Linked DNA regions of Arabidopsis thaliana. The protein of the gene in region 1 purifies or fractionates together with the protein of each later gene. This does not show direct contact. Each region holds a gene or a part of one and is shown on either strand. Other genes may lie near its edges.

Region 1 (5,279 bases):
AAGGTATGTGAAACCTTCTTTTGGGGATTCATAGGTTTTTCAGACAATCCACAGTTTGTGTCTATACAACATTTTGGAGTCTTGCTACTAAGTTCTTTCTATACTCTTCTATTCTCTTTCCACGTGAAATTTAATGTCTCCTCCTCTTTCTGCTTTTTTCAGGGAAATTAATAAGGCACTATGTGGCTTTTTAAATTGTAGCAAGGCTTGGGAGCACCAGAATATATTCATGGATGAAGGAGATAATGAAATTCAGCTTGTCCGAAACGGCAGAGATTCTGGTCTTCTGCGTACAGAAACTACTGCGGTTGGAATCATCCTACAAACCTTTAGTACCTTTTTTCATTTGTAGCCAATTTGAATTAGCTTTTGAAAAATAATGTTTCAACTTTTTTTGTTGTTCTCTACTGTTTCTGATGCAGTCACACCGAACTCCACTAAATGATGTTGAGATGAATAGAGAAAAGCCTGCTAACAATCTTATCAGAGATTTTTATGTGGAAGGAGTTGATAACGAGGATCATGAAGATGATGGTGTCGCGACAGGGAATTGGGGATGTGGTGTTTTTGGAGGAGACCCAGAGCTAAAGGCTACGATACAATGGCTTGCTGCTTCCCAGGTGCTTTTATACATCATCAGCTAAAAGTAATGAAATTATTATTTTCCTGGAGTATACAAGTTGAGTACCAGTAGGCCATAAGAATAAAAACATATAGATCTTTCTATGAAACCACAGACTTAGTCTGTTTTGACTGTAAGAAACACTCCATTGTCACTTTTGACTTAATTTTTCTAGAATGAACCAAAGCTTCGACTTGGATGATGAGATATATAGCGATTTTCATTTGATGCTTCTTTCTTAACTCGGTCATGGCTATATTTCAGACTCGAAGACCATTTATATCATATTACACCTTTGGAGTAGAGGCACTCCGAAACCTAGATCAGGTAACCTCCGATACTCTTTTAAACTTCACAATTCTAGAACCTCTCTTACAGTGTCTTCTTTTTCTCCACTGACATTTTACTTAGAATTGGGTTTGTAGTAAGCGGATAGAGCATCCAGGGTATAGTACTTTTAAGGTCGTCTGTGAACATATCTTGATTTTGAAACTGATACATACTCTTACAAGGATAGGTGACGAAGTGGATTCTTTCCCATAAATGGACTGTTGGAGATCTGTGGAACATGATGTTAGAATATTCTGCTCAAAGGCTCTACAAGCAAACCAGTGTTGGCTTCTTTTCTTGGCTACTTCCATCTCTAGCTACCACCAACAAAGCTATCCAGCCGCCTTGACTCTGCAAATTCTCCTTCATTAACTTGTTTGATGCATTCTCATACTGTATCTCTGCATTTTCCCACATGGGTGTGTAAAAGTGATTATTTTCCTCTTACAAGCTTGAATCCGTTGTAAGCTCGCCAGTTCTTGACCTCAAGCGTAATTAGTTTAGTGCGTTTGCTGATTTATGATTTTGGTCAAATGTTTGAATCAGGCTTTTGTTTTAAAGAAAAAAGTTCTTTTTGTTTATCAGTTGAAATTACAGGGTTATGCTGGAATCTTCTGGGAAAGTTAGTCCGGGAAAAGTTTATGGTCCACCAACATTTTGTTGTCAAGAGTAAATTTGACTCGGTCTTTCTGGAAAACGTGTTCCTGATTGACTTTGGTGCCATCTGTTAAAAAGAAAAATCAAATGGGTTTCTTTGTCCTTAAGCTACCAACGGACTAAGTCATATAGAGATACAACATCAAATGTCCATATCCTTAAATCATTTGCAAACTTTCATCTCCTAAGTTTTCTAATCTCCTTTTCAGGCAATAAGGATGGAACTGAGGGCAGATCTTAGGTCAATTCTTCAGTATTTGCCTCTTGTGGCTCAGTCTTCATCACTAGTTTGGCCACCTTCTGTCGAAGAAGAGCTCCAAACAATATCTAGAGGACCGAGTGAGTCAATGGTTAACTCGGGAGAGGCTCTTGCCTTGCATATCACGAATATGCGGAAATCTCTCTCCTTGAATGCATCTGATCTCGCCCCTTATGCATTACAAGGGTATGGTCTTTTCTTTGACAAGGTAACAATTCCTCTGTCCTTCTTTCATCCACTTTCTTAGTGTTTTGTGTTTTTCTTATTCATTTTACTCTTAGGGGGAACATTTGTCATGGAGCATAAAGTACTCACAAAAAAATTTCTTCTTGTGATGCAGAAAATTTCCAGAGAAGAGTCGGCAAACTTTTTTGGTGAGGTGGTTCCTGCATTGTGCAGATTACTTCTCCAGTTACCTTCCATGTTAGAAAAACACTATCAGAAGGCAGACCATGTTCTTGATGGAGTTAAGTCCGGGCTTCGTCTATTAGGCCCTCAAGAAGCTGGAATTGTGTTACTTAGCCAGGTATACTCTTTCAGTCCAAACAAAGACATGCCTTGTGTTGCATTGAATTAAAGATTGATATAGTAACTGTCTAGTACTCTTTGTAAATGAAATTTTGCTTGATTTTTGAAACCAAGCTTCGTTCCTTTATTCTTCAACTTTTTCACCCCTTGATGTATTTTGCTACCTTCTGCAGGAGTTGATTGCAGCTCTTCTTGCGTGTTCCTTCTTTTGCTTGTTCCCTGAAGTTGACAGAAGCTTAAAGAATCTTCAAGGAATCAACTTTAGTGGATTGTTTTCGTATGTGTCTTCATCATATTTCTTAAAAGTTACAACCATATATGCCCCAAAGTCACAAATCTTTCTTGTGTTTTTTTAAGGTTTCCGTATATGCGTCACTGCACGAAGCAAGAAAACAAAATAAAGTGCCTTATCCATTACTTTGGAAGAATATGTCGATGGATGCCCACCGGCTTTGTTTCATTTGAGAGGAAAATTCTTCCACTGGAATACCATCCTCACTTTGTTTCTTATCCCAAGGCTGATTCGTGGGCTAATTCTGTCACCCCACTTTGCTCCATTGAGGTATCATAGAAACACTCCTAGTTAAGCCTTCTTCGCCGTTGAATCCATTTCTTTCAGATGATTCATGAGTATGCTTTAGGTTATTCTCCTTTTGATCCATTTTTTATTGGAGTAGATTCACACCTCGGGAGCTATAGAAGATCAACCTTGTGAAGCTCTTGAAGTAGATTTTGCAGATGAGTATTTTGGAGGCCTTACTCTGAGTTATGATACTCTACAGGTCTGACTTGTACTTCCTTTTCTTCCATCTCTTCTAAAAACTCTACTATCTCATCCACTAAATAAGTTATAAGTTTTTCTTATTTCAAAATATGTTGAACATGTCAAAATATACCTATGTAGGAAGAAATAAGGTTCGTGATCAACCCGGAACTTATCGCTGGCATGATCTTTTTGCCTCGTATGGATGCAAATGAAGCAATTGAGATTGTTGGTGTTGAAAGATTTTCAGGTTATACAGGGTAAGTACCAATGAACTGAAGTAGATGTGTTTATTGGGTCTTCAAAGTTGATATTAAGCTTATTATATAGTCTTCTCTCTAAATCCAACTCATGGTGGCTCCATTCAGGTATGGGCCTTCGTTCCAATATGCTGGTGATTACACAGACAACAAGGACTTAGACATTTTCAGGAGGCGAAAAACAAGAGTCATAGCTATAGATGCCATGCCTGACCCAGGAATGGGACAGTACAAACTTGATGCCCTCATTCGGTAATCAAAACTTGTCTTTCAGCCAGTTTTTCATTCTTTCCTTTTTTTTATTTTGTTTGTGAATTACTCAATTGCTCCTTTTGTTTCTGTAGAGAGGTTAATAAGGCTTTTAGCGGATACATGCATCAATGTAAATATAATATCGATGTTAAGCATGATCCTGAGGCATCATCTTCGGTAAGACCACAATTATGCTCCATACATGAATTTAGCATACATGTTAAGCATTTTGTTTTTCTTGACTAGACCAAGATTAAATTTGTTTTCGCAAAGCAGCATGTTCCTCTTACATCAGATTCTGCGAGCCAAGTTATAGAAAGCTCTCATAGATGGTGTATCGATCATGAAGAGAAAAAGATTGGTGTAGCTACAGGGAACTGGGGCTGCGGTGTGTTTGGAGGTGATCCAGAACTAAAGATCATGCTTCAGTGGCTTGCCATTTCACAGGCATGCTTCTCTGTTTTCATCAACTTATCTTACAAAACATAATTATCATTCTATTTAACTGCGAAAACAATCTCGATCTACTTTCTCTAGTCAGGAAGACCCTTCATGTCATACTATACCTTTGGCCTCCAAGCCTTACAAAATCTCAATCAGGTTATTAGAATCCTAATTTATTAAACAATGAAACCACTCTTTCTCCCATTTCAACACTTTAAAAACATGCTCTATACATATATGTGTGGGTGTTCTTTCAGGTGATCGAAATGGTCGCTTTACAAGAAATGACTGTAGGAGACCTATGGAAAAAACTAGTTGAGTATTCTTCAGAGAGGCTCAGCAGAAGAACATGGCTTGGCTTCTTCTCGTGGCTCATGACCTCACTGTCTACCTAGAGTAAAAATTGAGTCAAAGTTATATAAAATACTATTCTTGTCTGAATTATGGGAAATGTATTATCCATATCTCTGTTTGTTTCTGACATATTAAGTCTAAAGCGTTAGATTGCTAATCCATTGTAGTGAAGTCAAATAATACTCATGATATAAAGTCTTTATGTAATTTGGTTAGTTCCAATCTTACGAGGATTATATATCTTGTGAAACAAAGGTAAGTGGGAAATAAAACTTGCCAAAAACAAACATCATCCGTTCAAACAGAAAGGAACGATATAGGGAATGAAAATCAGCACACTCTAAAACAACAGCACTCAGACTGTCTACACTAAGACCATTAACTAAAAACCAGTACTCAGAAAATTGAGTTTAAAAGACCAAAAAATAAAATAACACCTAGATAAAAAGAACAAAAATCCTAAAAAACCATCTTCGAGAGTCTGAAGAAAACTACTTGCAAGGCATAAAAAAAACCAAAAAACCAAGAGAAACTAATCACATAACATAGCTGTTTTTGCCAGGAAGTGACAACCGGAGCTCGAGGTCCAGCTCTGTGTCCGAGACTAGTGAGCTCCTCCTATTTGCCTCTTGTGAAACCTCGAGACAAGTCGTCTCCTCGGACACTTTAGCCAATAAATTTAGGCACTCCCAATCATTATCTGCATGAACTGGAAGTATTCTGTCACCCTCTTCTTGAGCATCAGCATGAGATATATATAGCTCGTCAGAATCTCTAGTAACAACCGGAGGCGAAGATGGAGTTGGAGCT
Region 2 (7,886 bases), 190 kb from region 1:
AGATCGAATCATGCAACCATTTTCTCTTTGAGAATAACCACTTCTTCGATGATCTTTCATAGGTACAACATCAGATCTGAACAAGTGTCAAGTCTTAAGAAGTGTCATTACTGAGAAAAAGCATAACAAAATGTAGTGTACGCTGTTTTAAAACCAGAAACATCTACAACGCCAGAGAGTTAAATCTGTGACTACATGTTGGATTCGATTTATCAAAAGACATTTAGTTACAAAAGTTAAGTCTTCGTGTTGGATTCGATTTCCCAAAAAAACATTTAGTTAACAGAAGTGACGTCTTCTTGTTTGGTTCAGGCTCATCTCTTGTGCTTAAACCTTACTTTCAACAAGAACTGCAACTTCACCTGTTCAGAGACAAAGCAATCTTTGTCAGACATGTACACACCATAAAAGAATCAAACACAGAATATGTTGCAAAACTAATAGCTAAAGCCGTATTCTAAAGCATGAGCTTTCTAGGGAATTCAGTTCTCATTCCCAAGTACCCGATAAGAACAAAAGAGGACTTTAGTGTGTGCGCAATATCCCATTGTTGTAAGGAACAAGGAAGATTATTTTGGAAACACAAGTTACCTGGGCTGTATCGTAGACGATATACTCATTGTACATAAGCTCAGAAGCCTTGACCTTTGATGAAACAGGTTTTCCACAGGGAACAGTCACATCACCTCTCCACTTGGCAAACTCGGAATCTTGAGGCACTTTCTTGCCGAGCCCTTTGGTCGAGTGTTTCCCTCTCGGAGGTTTATCCATATACTAAAGAATTGAGGACATAAGAGAAAGTCATATATGAAGGTAAGTAATATCTTAAGTTGTTCATATAGTTTTCAAGATAAGAACCAAATGGTTAGTAGCATAACCTGAAAAACTGTAATATGGGCTCACCTTAGCTTTTGTTAGCTCATGTATTTCTCCCAATGCAACTTCACTCAGAAGCATTAGACCCACCGGATTTTTCTTACAAGTGTAGCAGTACTGAGCACTTTTACTGACAAGGTCAGCAAAGTATATCCCTTTTCCAAACTGAAACATGGGGTTTAAAAAAAGTTCAGATTCTCTAACAAGTTAACTAGATAGTGAAGAACTCTCAATTGATAAGATCCCCACAAATAAGACACAGATAGAGTACTGACCATGTAACCAGTAGCAGGAGCTTCTGGAGGTGCAATTCTCAGTCCTTGGTTCAATATTCCAACAAAATTCGTTAATCGAGAACCTGAAAGCAGATTTATTTTGGTTAAACCAAGGGTTTTGATGATCAACCAGCCAAATATATAGAATCAACCAAACAATGAAATTTCTTGTATCTGTTTCCCAAAGCATGTAAATGTGGCTGGTTGCAGTTGGCTTACCATGCCATAGGAGCATCTTATTGCCAAGTTTTTCTCTGTGGGGAGCATATTTATCAAACTCTCCTTCTCTTTCAAGAGCAAAAACTTCCTCTAGCTCAAGACTCCACTCCTGACAAATCCAGTGACCAGAAATTGAATTAGAAAATTATGATAAACAAAACATGAAAAGGGATAAACAGAGCTTGAACTCACTGTATGCGTTGGGGCATGAGTTGTGTTAAGATACTTCTCGATTAATCGATAATCTTCGCTATCATGAGGAAGTGGTGAGATATCGCAATGCAGCTTCTTATACTTATCATCAAGAGATTCGGTGCTATCAACATCAAAGCCAACTATTCTTGAAGCTATTTCGATATCCTGCAGAGCCTCGAGCATTTTCACCTGTGACACACAGATACAATACCTCTTTGTAACACAGAAAAAGAGGCTAGGAATTAAAAAACAACACCATGGTTCATGTTCTATGGCAAGTACCTTTGACTTAAAGTCATCTTCATCTCGGATAATATGAGGATGAATAGAAGGGATCATGGTAAAAAATCTGTTACTAGCATCAACAAGCAAGCTTTCTTTCATAGTAGGCTGGGGGTCGCTTTCAGTCAATAGCCTCTGTATCTCCGTCAATGCCTCAAAACCTTTAGAAGAACAAACAAGAAAAAACATAATAGAATGTAATGTAGAATTAACATTTTATTATTTTTATCATATAAAAAAGTAAACTAGAGAAGTAGGAGTTACCCTTCTGTATATTATGTTTGCTGAGCTTCCCAAGTGGCATCTCTGACATATTTATCTCGAACTCCATCATTGCAGATCTGCGGAAGTAATTATTAGGTTACTTCATACAGTTTCTAGGGAGAGAAGAGGAGAAGAAGACAATGGCAAATAAGTTTCTAACCTGTAAGTTTCCACATCAAAAAGCATCTTCATCAATTCTATTAATGATGGAGCAAGGTTGCTACTGGTCTGAAATGGCTCTTTTTTGGCTACTTGCTTATTAACTCCATAATCCTAAAACAAACGATACAAAAGAGTTTATTGAACGATACATAAGAGAATCTTAAGAGACAAAGATATAGTCATATGGATGCTTACAATGTCCAACGGGAGAAATTTTCCAGGTTGTTTCTGGAAATTCGTTTTTTGTTCCCAAGATTCCCATGTGTTTCCGGTTTTTTCAAGAAATAGACGTTTGAATTCGTGAACCGCATCAGACTTTGACATTTCCTCCACTTTGTTACCACCAATCTTTTCATTTCCAACTCGGCCCCATTTACGAAATACGTAACAATCTGAACCTTTATCTTCTTGGATTATCTGGAGTATGTAATAACTATTGATACCGGTAGAGAGATCAGACATGCTCAGAGTTGTGTTATAGATACTGTTCCCATCTTCAAGAATGTGACAGTGCTCTTGGAGGCCAGACGCTTCATGCACAGCGCTTCGTCCTTTTACTTTAACAGTGACAAGGCTCTCACTAGTGTCTTCAATTTTGTACTTGTCAAATGGAAGTTTCCTCTGTTTTTTAAAACAATCAACCAAATAATCCTCTCTCACGATTGCCACTTTCATCCTCCTGCCACACATTTATCAACTCCAGCGTTCAAAGTGAGAAAAAATAGTGTGACAAAGTTAAAGAGTATCAGCACAATGAAGGCAATATTCTACCTTGCCTTTCTCATTTCAGCGTCTCTGATATCTGTCAGTCCACAAACAACCAAACAGCTTGTACCTACAAATTTGTGAAACAGAGATATTCAAAAGCTAAAACTAGTGTCACAATAATCAAAAATAGACACTCGAGTTATCCATACCTTTTTTAACATTAGCATGAAACTCTGCACCAGCTTCCTCAATTCTCTTCTTCCATGGTTGCTGCAAAATGATCCCATCAAGCAATGAAGTGCAAAGATAGTCTACAATATAATTTTTGACAGAAGAACATACCCTTTCCTTAGTATTTCCAGCAATTGAAACTTTAAGATCTGCTAGCCTTTCACTCCTTGAGGAGTCAGTTGCATCTTTAGAACCTTGACCCTGAGATGTCTCGCCAGACAATACAGGACGCAGAATACGTTTTGGCTTCACACTCTTTTGAGACTTATTCCACTGCAAGTAATCAAAATATAAATATTAACTTCATGAGTAATATATACCACATCTAACCTAACCCATACCAATATCAACTCTACAAAAAGACTGGTTTACCTTCAGAAGGAATTGATTTTCTGTTTCGTCAGGGATTTTCCACTTCCCTTTGATGCGGTCTGGATCCAAAGTGGAATGAGAACATTTGCTCCATTCTGAGATGTATCCATGGCATCGGTAAAGTCCTCCGGAGAAAGAAAGATGCCCAGAGCACATTGGGCAGAGAGCGAGTGGGCCAAACATCATGCCATCAGCACTAAATAGAAACAAATAGAGAGGTTAGGCATATGATTATGCATCGGTTTCTCTAATCCAAATTACCTTTAAGAAGATCCACACAACAGTAACAGAAATAGAACAAAAGACAAGCAATTAACTTCCAGACAGATTCGCAAAGTAATTTACCATTTATCACGCAGATCAAGTTCAGATCCTCTTGTACTTTGTTCATTTACTTCAAGCATTTCCCGCAACTCAGCTGATGTTACATATTTTTTCAGATCATCCTTCAGGTCCCACAATTCCTTAGTTTGGGCCTCCATTTCCTTTTCTTTGCTACAAGGTTGTAAAGCACCACTTGTAGACATGTCAAAACTACTTTTTGCTAGTTTCGACTTCTCGTTATCAACAGAATCATTTTTTCGTTTTGTGCCTGCTCTTGAATTTGTTTGACGTGCTTCTGCTGTCTCTGTCCCAGTTGGGCCAAAATAAATTAACGGAAAGATCAGACTAAAGTACTGCAAATCAGGATCCTGTAACAAGGAAATCAATATATTACCGTACACCTTAAGACTCTTACCAGTTTTGGCTGCCGGCAGAGCTTTCTTCACTAAGGGAAGAAGAGCTTCTTGGTCTGAGTCTGGTATACTTCTCCATCCAGACAAACTTTCCAGTTCAGTAGAGGAAGACATTTCAAGGAAACATTTAGCGTGATGCCACATCAAACCTTTGTTACCCGGGCCTTCAGGCTTGGAGAATATACGTACCTGGAAAACAAAAATGCAAAACAAAACCCTAATGCATATCGAACCAGTTCATATAAAACGCTACAACCATGACAGATGAAGTAGAACAACAATTTACCTCTCCTTTCAAGATCTTTTCGCTACACTTTCTGCAACCGGCACGAGAAGTTTGTGACACTTCAATCCCATATTCTAGTTTGGCATTATTAGCGGTACTGCTCGTGCTTGTGCCTGTGCTTGTGCTTGTGTTACTCCCTGCTCCAGATTCGACATATTTTCTAATCTTTTGCTGATCTTCCCAACGAAGTGATTCTATGCCTTCAACATCATCAACTCTAGCAAAATCAAGAGACAAAAACGAGTTAATAGCCAAACACTTTAAATATTTGTTCAAAGTGACATTGGTTTTACATACGATTTTATCTGCTTCGTCTTCTTTAGTATACAAGAAGCATGGTTCCACATCTGTGTGAGAAAAATAAAAGTACAAAGAGGATAGTCAGCTAGGAAAACTTCATGTCAACTGGAGCTAAAAGCAACATATAATTAACATGGTGAAGTGAAGCAGCATGAAGAAGGAACTACATAGTGAAAAGAAGAAGAGAAGAATGACCACTGCCATTCCATTAAACAACAAGCATAAAAGCTCATGAAAAACACAGCTGATTGCAATCATAGCATTGGCGGCATAAAGATATCAAAACACAGCTAAACAAACGATTATGATCATCCAAACAGAATAACGTCAGAGTTCCAAAGGGAATAATAGGAGTTCACATACGTCATTGCAGAAAAGCACGAACCTTTTGGCAATCATCAAGTACTAAATAAACACACAAGTGACTCAAATTTAAGCTTCAAATGCTCTTTTATCACATTCGATTAGGCACAAAAGGAGGAAAGAACATAATGTGAGGAAGGTTAACATCTATTTAAGAAGTTAAAAAAGTTCCAATTTTGAGATAGAAAACAAGCTTGACACACACACACACACAAATTTGCAAGGAATGTAGAACAGTGGAAGCAGAGAGAACAGGATTGAACCCTCAAAAATAACCAATTTCAACCAAATAAACCCAATTTGTCTGACAATAATTCTAAAAGAATCAATTTTGTCCTCAAAATCAGAAAGAAACATTAGAACGCACACTAACAAGCACGAGAGTATAGTACAGAGACAGTTCCAAATTCTGGGAGAGAAAAGAGAGTCATACGGGCATGATGCCATCGAAGTGAGTAGATTGAACCAACTTTCCAAGACGAAAGTTCTCCTTGTTAATGACGGACTTGCAAGTTTTACATGAAGACCTCGACGACTTTGCATACTCCGCCCTCCACGGCTTATGTGGGCTTGCCATTTCTCCGGTAAGAGACAATTACACAATGCGAGAGTACTATTTATACGTATGGCTTCTCTATCGAAGATGATTATGATGACGACGGATTGAGGAATGTTTCAGGTGAGAGTAAAGCTTCTCGGCGACGCTTTTCCAGATTGTGTTTCTACCGTTTAACCCTTTTTCCCTTTTTTACCCTAAAAAGTCTGTTTTAAGATTATTGCTTTCAATTATTATTTTGATAATCAGATTTATTCAATGATTTAATTTGATATCAGATTAGTAAATCAATAATTTGCACCCTCCGTTATGCAATAGACGATGATTACTATCACTTGTTGTTTTATATTTTTGAGACAGGAAGAAAAGATTATGTGAACATAAAATTATGGCTATAAAATGACAATAGGGAATTGAAAAAAGAAAAAAGAAAATAGCATTGGTGAAAAATATATTAACAAAAAAAATCAACAAATCATGGACGAATTCGCAGAATCCGTCGAACGATTGAATCATGGTGGTTGTATATTTCGGAAAACATCTGTACATTTCTAGTTTACATTGGAACAAAAATGAGAATTTTGACCACGTAAGAGCTACATTGCTAAATTAAATCCGACATGTTTTGTGTTAGTTTTCGAAACAGCAGTTAGCGTCTCTTTGAGGTTAGAAGCTTGGTATAGGGTAGAGATTGTTCGTAATAACGACGATAAGGTCTCGAGATTTTTGGAACTGTGACAATTACGCGAATGTCCATCTTTAATTCGGCGTTCAGAATCAGTGTTTCTTCTTGAAAAACTGCTAGTTGAATTTCTCATTTAGTTTATTTGTTGTGTTTTTGTTTCGATTTTTTTTTTTTTTAGCTTTGCAGCCTTTTTTCGCTATAATTATATGATTGCATTTTCCATCAAAATTTTCAGAATATTGTACTAACAAAAAAAATCCAACATGTACTACAAGAAGCAAAAAAATATGAAATTGATCACCATAATTTGTCAGAAAATCAAACCGGGAATACACTAATCAAGTTGGACCGTAATAACATCCCGGGTGCATTTTCCTCCTATTTGCTTAAAAATTCGTGAGACGCGTGATCTTCTTCGCCCTTCCGTATGAGCAAGAAATCTTGCGGTCCAAGACAAAACCGGTTTACGTGTTAACTTGTTTAATCAGTCTCAATCTTTATTTTCTAGTTCAAATGTCGAGAACCAATTTTTTCCAACTAAAAAGTCAATCCATAAGAATCCAAGTAAACCCTCCCTGACGACAAAAAAAAAGTAAACCCTCCCTCTCTATATATTTAACTCATATTCATATCTTTCAATGCGACACAAAAGAGTAAACGAACTTACTACAAATACTTTTTAGTACAAAGAAACAAAGTTAAAGTGATGATTATGAAGAATTAAGTAATCTTTGGAGTGATTATGCTTGCCATTTTTGTGGTTTTCTTGGACTCCACAAAAGTAGAAGCCACGAGGATGTTAAGAATCACCTTCGATAGTGATATCCGGTTCGTGTTCGAGTCCTTGCAGAAGGGTACGGTCCCTGGATCTGGTCCTAACCGTTGCTCTCACATCCCCAAAGGCTCGGGTTCGTGCCACGGATGATCCCTCTTGTGAATCTCAAGCTTGATCTCAATACCAAAATTTGGACTATGGGTGGAACTTTTTGTATTCATTTTTGTTGTATACGAGAAACTATGCTTTACATGTTCTTGTAAGTTGTAACAAAGCTATGAGAGCAAATTTGTTTGAAAGTATAAGTTTGTTTAACAAATTTGTAATAGTACTGGAAATGTTTGATAACCGGAATAATAGTCTTCTTATTTGGTTTAAGAGACGATAAATGATTCAGATTGTATAAACCGGTTCATATTGGTTCGATTGTATAAACCGGTTGAGATTGGTTCGAGTTGAAATTTGTTCTTCGTTGGCGAGAGATCCTTGAACGCTTAAACCCTCCATGGTTTTGGATTGAACATTTCCCCTGAGATTTGGGAGTGTCCTTAAACCCCATACACTGATCGAGCTCAAGAAGAAGGAGAAGCAGAGAAATGG
Region 3 (6,874 bases), on another chromosome or scaffold:
TTACTATCTCATTACCAATCAATCAATTAAAAACTCTCAATTTTGGATTCACCAATTTGTTATAGCGTAAGAATCCCGATAGCAAAAACCCTAATTGAGCTAAAACCAAAATCTGTAGATTATCTTCTTATCACTAAAGTTCAAAACTTGCAATTTCACACAGTGGCGGAGAATTAGTGAAGAGAAAGAATAAAACCTCGAAATCCTCGGGAAGCTCGTAGTCGTAGTTATCGACGCGGTCATAGCGATTGTTTTTCTTAGACTCTTCCTCAGGCACACCTTCTTCATACTCATACAAATCGACGTTTTCATCGTCGGAATCGATCTCATCGTCATCTTCGTCAGAGTTCAAAGGACGTTTCTCATTGGCAATAGTCTTCAGGATTGAATTAGGCAAATGAGGACCTTTCCTCTTCTTGTTCTTAGCTAGGGTTTTCGAAGTAGATTTTCTCTTTTCTCCCATGGCTGCCTCTGCTTTTTTTTTTTTTTGCCGTTTAGTTTCCGATTGAGATTTTCGTAGGGTTTCTTCTCTTTCGCTTAAATACTAATAAAATCGAGTTTCAGAGAATAAGAATTTCTCAATCATACCAACTAAACCGGATAAAATTGGGTATGGTTTGCGGTTTAGCGTACCAATATACGAGTGAACCGTGCAAAATCAGAGATGAAGGAGTTTGAAAGAAATACAATAAAACGCTGATTTTTGGATAATTAGTTGATGTTCAAAAGCTAATATACATAAGTTTTAGTGCTTGTAGTTGAATTTGACTTGGATCACATAACGCATCTTGATTTGTTCCACATTGTAGACTATATATTCGTTGTACAACAACATCCCCTGCAAAAGTTATATAAAGTCAGTTTATGAAATTTGAGAGAGTTAGATTTTGTGAATGTGTGTTGAAGCAAGACAAAAACAAAAACCTTGGAGCATGAACGTTCCACTGGTTTGCCAAGTGGAACAACAACACCGTCTTCTAGTGTTTGAGCCTCTGATGGGTTTGGTGCTGTTTTCCCCACACCTTTTGTGCTGCAACCATCAAATAACAAATCAAGGTACAGTACAAAAATAGTAAATCATAATTCATTGCGGTTTGAGATAAGGAACTTGTGTGAAATATGAATGAGATTATCTTCATACCTTAGCTTTCCCGGGGGTAGATTATCCGCGTTATAATCTGAATACAGAAGTTCATTCATGTCTCCCAAAGCAACCTAGAGAAGTTTTTATCGTTAGGAAACATAAGGATAGTTATGTTGAATGGCTATAGAGGTCCTGTAGTTATACAGTAGTTTTGTTGTTTTCTATATGAATAGAGACAAGAAGCGAGTATACCTCGCAGAGGAGCAGAACGCCATCATTAGCGCCAGTGTTGGCATAGCAATAGTTCGCACTCTTGGAGAACATATCCGCAAAGTAAACCCCTTTTCCAAACATGTAACCAGTTACAGGCGCTTCAGGAGGAGCTATTCGCAGACCTGCTTGGTGTCTCATAGTTGTTCATTTTACTATGCAATTGAAAATCCCCCAAGAGGAGAAGAAAAAAAGTAGTTACTAAGAGGAAAAAGAGTAACATGTTACCTTGAGATAAAATACCAGCCCAGTTAGTGAGACGTGAACCGTGCCAGAGTAGCATCCTGTTCTTCGAACTTGAAAACTGCCAAGAAAAATTAAAGTCTCACAATGCCAAAAACGAGAAATCAGAATAATGTGTATGGTACTGACAAGCTCGAAATACCATAACATACCTGTTGGAATCGATCAGCTTCAACAGCTCTCGAAGCTCTAAATAGTTGAGCAATCTCAACCGTATATCCCGAATGCGTCTTTGCATGAGTGTTCTCCATGTAATTAGCAACCTGATTTTGGTTTTAAGGAGTAAACACCAAAAGGTTTAAAACACAGACATGTTTGAGATGCTCGAGTATCAAAGATATTTGTTCAAAGTTCACAAAACCGAAAATTTACCATAGAGAACTCCTCTGAATCATTTCCTACTGGCGTCAAACCACAATTAAGTTGCTGGTAGTGATAATATAAAGGATCATCCTACAGCCATTGCAAAAAATAATGTCATATTCTTAGAGAACTATACGACGGAGTGATTTCATGCCTTCAAACCACATAGACTGACTGAATTACCTGCAATCCCGGGTCGACGGACAACAACTTTGTTGCGAGTTCAATCTCACCTAATGCTTCAACCTTACAAAAAAACGATATATTAAAAACTACACAAAACATGTAGCGACAAACCATTGCTTTTCTGAAGACCAAAACTAGTCAAGTAAGGAAACAGTAGGAAAAATTACCATTTCAATTTTCTGTTTCAACTTTTGAGGAGTGTCTATAACAAACTGGCCTGTTACAGCTCGGAATTCAGATGTTAGTGAATGTTTAGTTATATATATCGTAAACCTTAGCACAGATGAACTTACTCATTTTCTTAAAACCAAAATCATGAGGTATCACTGTGTAGAACTCTCTGCATCAATGATAAACAAAGTTAGACTAGTTCAAATCTAATTTCTTTATGGGAAACAGTTACATAATCAACTAAATGCGAAAAATTGTCTAGCAATTAACCAGATACATACCCACTCAGTTCCTCAAGCCTCGTTCTATCATACCGATCAATCACCTCCGATATTCTCTTCAGCACTTCATAACCCTAGACATGTGGAAGAGGAGATTATATCATCTGAAATCACACCAAACTATAATTTACGGAAATGAGACCAAACAGACTGTTTACTATCTTTACCTTTGAAATTGTGGACTTGCTTATCTTGCCGAGTGGCAATTTGTTAGCGTTATATCCTTCAATTCCAAATTTAGAAGATGTATGAAAAATCAGCAAGAAGTAAAGAAACCAGCAAAATGGCAAACAAATGGATAGGACAAAAGATAGGAAGTACAAACGCAGGTAATAGGACACCAAAACAAAGAGATAATGTATCGACATATAAAAATCACTGTTAATCTGCCAATGGATGCTCTCACTTGAATGAAGTGATCAAAGTTAGACTCAAACCTATTTCCATCATATGCTGTGCCATCATGCTGACATTACATATAAGAGAGATGAACTTGGCAACCCGAGTATCTAGTTTTGATTGTTCAGGTTTAACTTCGGAAGATGAACTCGGAATATCATTATTGACCTGAGAAAAAAAACAATCGTGAACTCTGAGTAAAGTGCACATTTGAACGAAGAGAAAAAAAATATATAATTGCAATTAAACGGGAAAAAGAAAAGTAGATATGCACTCAAAAACCTCATTCCAGCAGATCCCTTGGATCATACCACACAACAAATAGTAAGAAGAGAAAGAGAAGTGAGGATTCCAAAACACTCACCGGTGAATCATTTTCCTCTTTTCCGTAATCCATTTCGAGCCATGTATAGGACTTGGGATGTGGGATAAACTCCTTTCTGTCAGACCAATAATTCTTTGTCTTGTCATTGAACTTATTGGTAAATATCTCTATCGCACGATCCCATGAGTCATAAGGCCCATCTAGCTTACTTTGTCCTTTCACACCAACTCTTCCCCATCTGGTGTAAACCATGTATGTCTTTTTACTATCCGACTCTGCACAATGCACAATAGATAAGATAGATCAATGATGATAGTATCTGGAACCAAGAAGAATGACAAAGAGTCATCAAAAGCTGCTTCAAGAGGTTTCCAGTACTCGAACAAGACAAGTATCGTCTCATTAATCTTGGAAAGTAACCAGGGAAATTATTGTTGAAGGTTTTGGAAGACTGACCTAGGACTTGTAGGACAAAGAACTTGTTATTATTATCCCTGACATTTGTCTGATTTAAGATAGCATCATAAACATCATCACCCTACAACATTCAACAAAAAAAGAAACAGTTTCTAACAACATTCATGAACACGATAAGATGCAAAAACTCAAGATTAGGTTCCAAATCCTCACCCTTTGTAGAACATGGTACTGACTCTTTATCTCATCAGGAATCCACTGATCTAACACCGCTGCACCCTTCTTTGTCGCGGTTACGATTTTCTCTTCTTTCTTTTCTTCTTCAAAGCCATTGTTGTCATCTTCAGCTTCATCTGTCCCTTAATACACAATGACAATAACAACATTAAAAAGACTCAATTTTTACCAAATTTCTCAATAGTCCAGAGAATTGAACAAACCATTACTGGATTTGACTGGTGCATTGGAAACGTTATTAGCATCATTGCAAAGCCTCTCAAGAAGATCCTTTTTGGTTCCTGTTGTATCTAAGCCTCTCTTAATAGCTTCCTCACGCAATTCCTTCACAATCATCCCACGAAATTCGCCAATTGCAATCAATTTGTTCGATTCATAAGTATCATTAGAAGAATTTCTTTTCCTCTTGCTCTTTGATTCTTCCTTCTTAGTGTCTTCTGCGATAGCCTCTTCAAGCCTCTCCACCTACACGAAACACCCAATAAACAAATTCGAATATCAACAAAATAGAAAGAGTATTTCAATGCAATTCAGAGAAATACCAGAACGGCTTTGACTCCAGTAGTACTGAGTCCACGCTCGGCGAGTTTTAAACGGAGTTCGTCGACTTTGAGCTTGTTCGCCATTTTCGTCTTCTTCTTCAGGAGAATAGTTCGTCGGAAAGGGAATGAGACTGAGGAAGTATGGTTTTCGTCAGAAGTGAGTTCGCGCGAGCATTTGAAGAGTCTTCTTCTTCGTTTTCTTCTTCATCGATGGCTTCCCTTGAAAGCTTTAGGGCTTTTTGAAAAATTATTTTAAATTTTTTTGACAAAAGTTCTCGTTCATATTTGTGGATATTTCCCATATAACTTTTTAATCTCCAAAAGACCCCAAACTTTTGGATTGATTCTTAAATCCACCCCTGACCTTTTTAAAATAGTATTTATTTCCTACCATTGATGATGGCAAGCAATAGAAAATCATGAAAGATAAAAAAAAAAAGGTTAAAAATCTAGTAACAGGCAAATACTTTGAAAAGGAGTTGAAATTTTGTACATAGGTTTAACTCTTCTATTAAAAGAAACAAAAAATCTCTATGTTTTAAAATGTACTACTAATTTATAATTTAAGAACATTTTTCTGAAAATTTTGCTGGTTGTTTAACGAAAAGAAAAATATACAAATAGTTTTTGGCTGTAATGCTACGCCACTACTCACTTTTCCAAGGACGTGCATACAAATTACCGTAAACGGATTATAGGACTTGTGTTGACTAATGACACAATTCTTTTTTATTAAAAGAGATTAGTCTCCTTGAAGAAAAAGGGACACAAATTATTCGTAACATGTTAATCAAACCAAGGTCTTAAGTGGCTACCAACCGCATACGAGTGTTGAGCCGAGCAGTGCTGTGTCGAGCCGGGCTGGATTTGGCATTTGGAATATATGAAATGGGCCAACAACCCAAAAGATAAAATTTCGTTACTTGGACAGTAAAAACTAAACATGCATGTTTATTAGCCCGTAATCTGCATAATCACAACTTACGAAGAAGACATAAGAATCAACAGGCCCATCATAAAGTGGGACTAACGATTTGGTTTCCACTATTATTTGGCCCATATATTGTTAATATTGTACACTTCAAATATTATTTAGTTAGAAAAAAAAAAAAAAAAACTCTTGTAAAACTGGATGGTTCTAGTTTAGTTTTAAAAAATGGTTAGATGATAACGATATTAATATACGATAAAGTTTATATAAAATATCTTTTCATAACCAAATTTACATGACAACTAACATTCGGGTAAGCCATGTAAAAGACGAGATAGAGATTTTGACCAAAGAAGAAAAGTAGAGAGAACATGCAAAAGCCAAAAAGAAAACATAGCCAAATGGTTGAGTGGTGTAGATGGACCGAACCAACAGACATGTTCTCAGTTCATATACCAACCGCCTAACATTACAGCCTGTCCCCATCCCCTATCTTTATTTTTCTTTTTGGCTCATTTAGCTTCAACTTTTTTTAATAGGTGTGATTAGAACATACTAAAAAAAACATATGTTTTAACTTATATTATATGAATAAAGTGTTGTTTTTAATAGTTTATATTTCTATTACAAGTACAATATATAGGATATTTTGGTTAACAATTTTAAATTTAAAAGATATTGTGAGTACAAATCATTAAGCTTAACACAAATGTTCATTGCTTCTTAATTCTTACAATCGGAAAATTTGGACAAAAAATCTAGACTAATCTCCAAAACATTGTGAAAAATTGGGGGTTTTTTTTATCATTTAAATTGTCTATAGTGGTCAATCATTATTAAAAAAAATTGTTTTTTGTTGAAATTTTAAATTATAAAAAAAAAACACGTTTATACATAAAATGCAAAAACTTTTCTTAAACCAAATTACAGAGAAAGGCTATCACCATCCTTGTCTTGATGCCAACCACACTTGTAATCCCAAAATACATACTTAAACTATACTATACTAACATGAATTGGTTATACGATTATCTATCTAGTTAGCTACATAATTCATATAATTAGTTTTTTAAAATATACTTATGTAATGATAGTAACTAAAAAATATACTATCTCGAGAAATCCAACCAAAATGCTATGATAGTATATAAAATAAAATGAAAGAAAGAGGAACCAAGTTGTGAAACCATTTACCAAGAAGAAGAAGAAAAAAACAAGATGGTCGAGTCTCGTGATAGTATGAAGCTGGGGCCGAAACCACGAATCAAAGAACCATTTGACGATGCAAGTGGTCATCGATAACCAATCAATAGAAACTCCACCGCCTCAAAATATCATAGTGCTATTTAATTTTTCATACTATCATTTATTGTAGGCTATAACATATTTTTGTATTGTAGATGGACGGCTAGTACACGCAAGTTA

What was found.
Region 2: the proteins of PARG2 (region 1) and PARP1 purify together in Arabidopsis thaliana (affinity purification with western blotting, with the first as the bait; one study listed by BioGRID). This does not show direct contact.
Region 3: the proteins of PARG2 (region 1) and PARP2 purify together in Arabidopsis thaliana (affinity purification with western blotting, with the first as the bait; one study listed by BioGRID). This does not show direct contact.

What each region holds. Positions count from the first base shown.
Region 1 is NC_003071.7:13,546,021-13,551,299, reverse strand, and holds PARG2 (poly(ADP-ribose) glycohydrolase 2), read left to right. Parts: upstream 1-1,728; 5' UTR 1,729-1,827; coding exon 1,828-2,076; intron 2,077-2,208; coding exon 2,209-2,394; intron 2,395-2,569; coding exon 2,570-2,673; intron 2,674-2,753; coding exon 2,754-2,958; intron 2,959-3,073; coding exon 3,074-3,178; intron 3,179-3,300; coding exon 3,301-3,419; intron 3,420-3,527; coding exon 3,528-3,671; intron 3,672-3,763; coding exon 3,764-3,848; coding exon of another isoform or gene 3,849-3,917; coding exon 3,918-4,118; intron 4,119-4,208; coding exon 4,209-4,271; intron 4,272-4,372; coding exon 4,373-4,510; 3' UTR 4,511-4,756; downstream 4,757-5,279. Other genes in the region: TEJ (Poly (ADP-ribose) glycohydrolase (PARG)), read left to right, coding at 1-3, 163-307, 423-620, 887-949, 1,140-1,301; AT2G31862 (B3 domain protein), read right to left, coding at 5,006-5,279. UniProt on the Arabidopsis thaliana protein: Poly(ADP-ribose) synthesized after DNA damage is only present transiently and is rapidly degraded by poly(ADP-ribose) glycohydrolase.
Region 2 is NC_003071.7:13,353,732-13,361,617, forward strand, and holds PARP1 (poly(ADP-ribose) polymerase 2), read right to left. Parts: upstream 6,020-7,886; 5' UTR 5,848-6,019; coding exon 5,704-5,847; intron 4,955-5,703; coding exon 4,905-4,954; intron 4,825-4,904; coding exon 4,608-4,824; intron 4,511-4,607; coding exon 4,324-4,510; intron 4,213-4,323; coding exon 3,930-4,212; intron 3,781-3,929; coding exon 3,585-3,780; intron 3,486-3,584; coding exon 3,324-3,485; intron 3,252-3,323; coding exon 3,191-3,251; intron 3,109-3,190; coding exon 3,045-3,108; intron 2,953-3,044; coding exon 2,469-2,952; intron 2,385-2,468; coding exon 2,272-2,384; intron 2,189-2,271; coding exon 2,112-2,188; intron 2,009-2,111; coding exon 1,848-2,008; intron 1,755-1,847; coding exon 1,563-1,754; intron 1,480-1,562; coding exon 1,371-1,479; intron 1,235-1,370; coding exon 1,152-1,234; intron 1,042-1,151; coding exon 904-1,041; intron 775-903; coding exon 592-774; intron 363-591; coding exon 315-362; 3' UTR 17-314; and 1 more. Other genes in the region: AT2G31335 (uncharacterized protein), read left to right, coding at 7,254-7,436; emb1381 (embryo defective 1381), read left to right, coding at 7,883-7,886. UniProt on the Arabidopsis thaliana protein: Involved in the base excision repair (BER) pathway, by catalyzing the poly(ADP-ribosyl)ation of a limited number of acceptor proteins involved in chromatin architecture and in DNA metabolism.
Region 3 is NC_003075.7:1,047,832-1,054,705, reverse strand, and holds PARP2 (poly(ADP-ribose) polymerase), read right to left. Parts: upstream 4,941-6,874; 5' UTR 4,603-4,940; coding exon 4,519-4,602; exon of another isoform or gene 4,442-4,518; coding exon 4,180-4,441; intron 4,099-4,179; coding exon 3,953-4,098; intron 3,861-3,952; coding exon 3,779-3,860; intron 3,598-3,778; coding exon 3,362-3,597; intron 3,166-3,361; coding exon 3,036-3,165; intron 2,822-3,035; coding exon 2,766-2,821; intron 2,673-2,765; coding exon 2,599-2,672; intron 2,487-2,598; coding exon 2,440-2,486; intron 2,364-2,439; coding exon 2,314-2,363; intron 2,207-2,313; coding exon 2,144-2,206; intron 2,051-2,143; coding exon 1,970-2,050; intron 1,861-1,969; coding exon 1,750-1,860; intron 1,659-1,749; coding exon 1,583-1,658; intron 1,480-1,582; coding exon 1,337-1,479; intron 1,216-1,336; coding exon 1,142-1,215; intron 1,031-1,141; coding exon 925-1,030; intron 839-924; coding exon 746-838; 3' UTR 520-745; downstream 1-519. Other genes in the region: AT4G02400 (U3 ribonucleoprotein (Utp) family protein), read right to left, coding at 197-463. UniProt on the Arabidopsis thaliana protein: Involved in the base excision repair (BER) pathway, by catalyzing the poly(ADP-ribosyl)ation of a limited number of acceptor proteins involved in chromatin architecture and in DNA metabolism.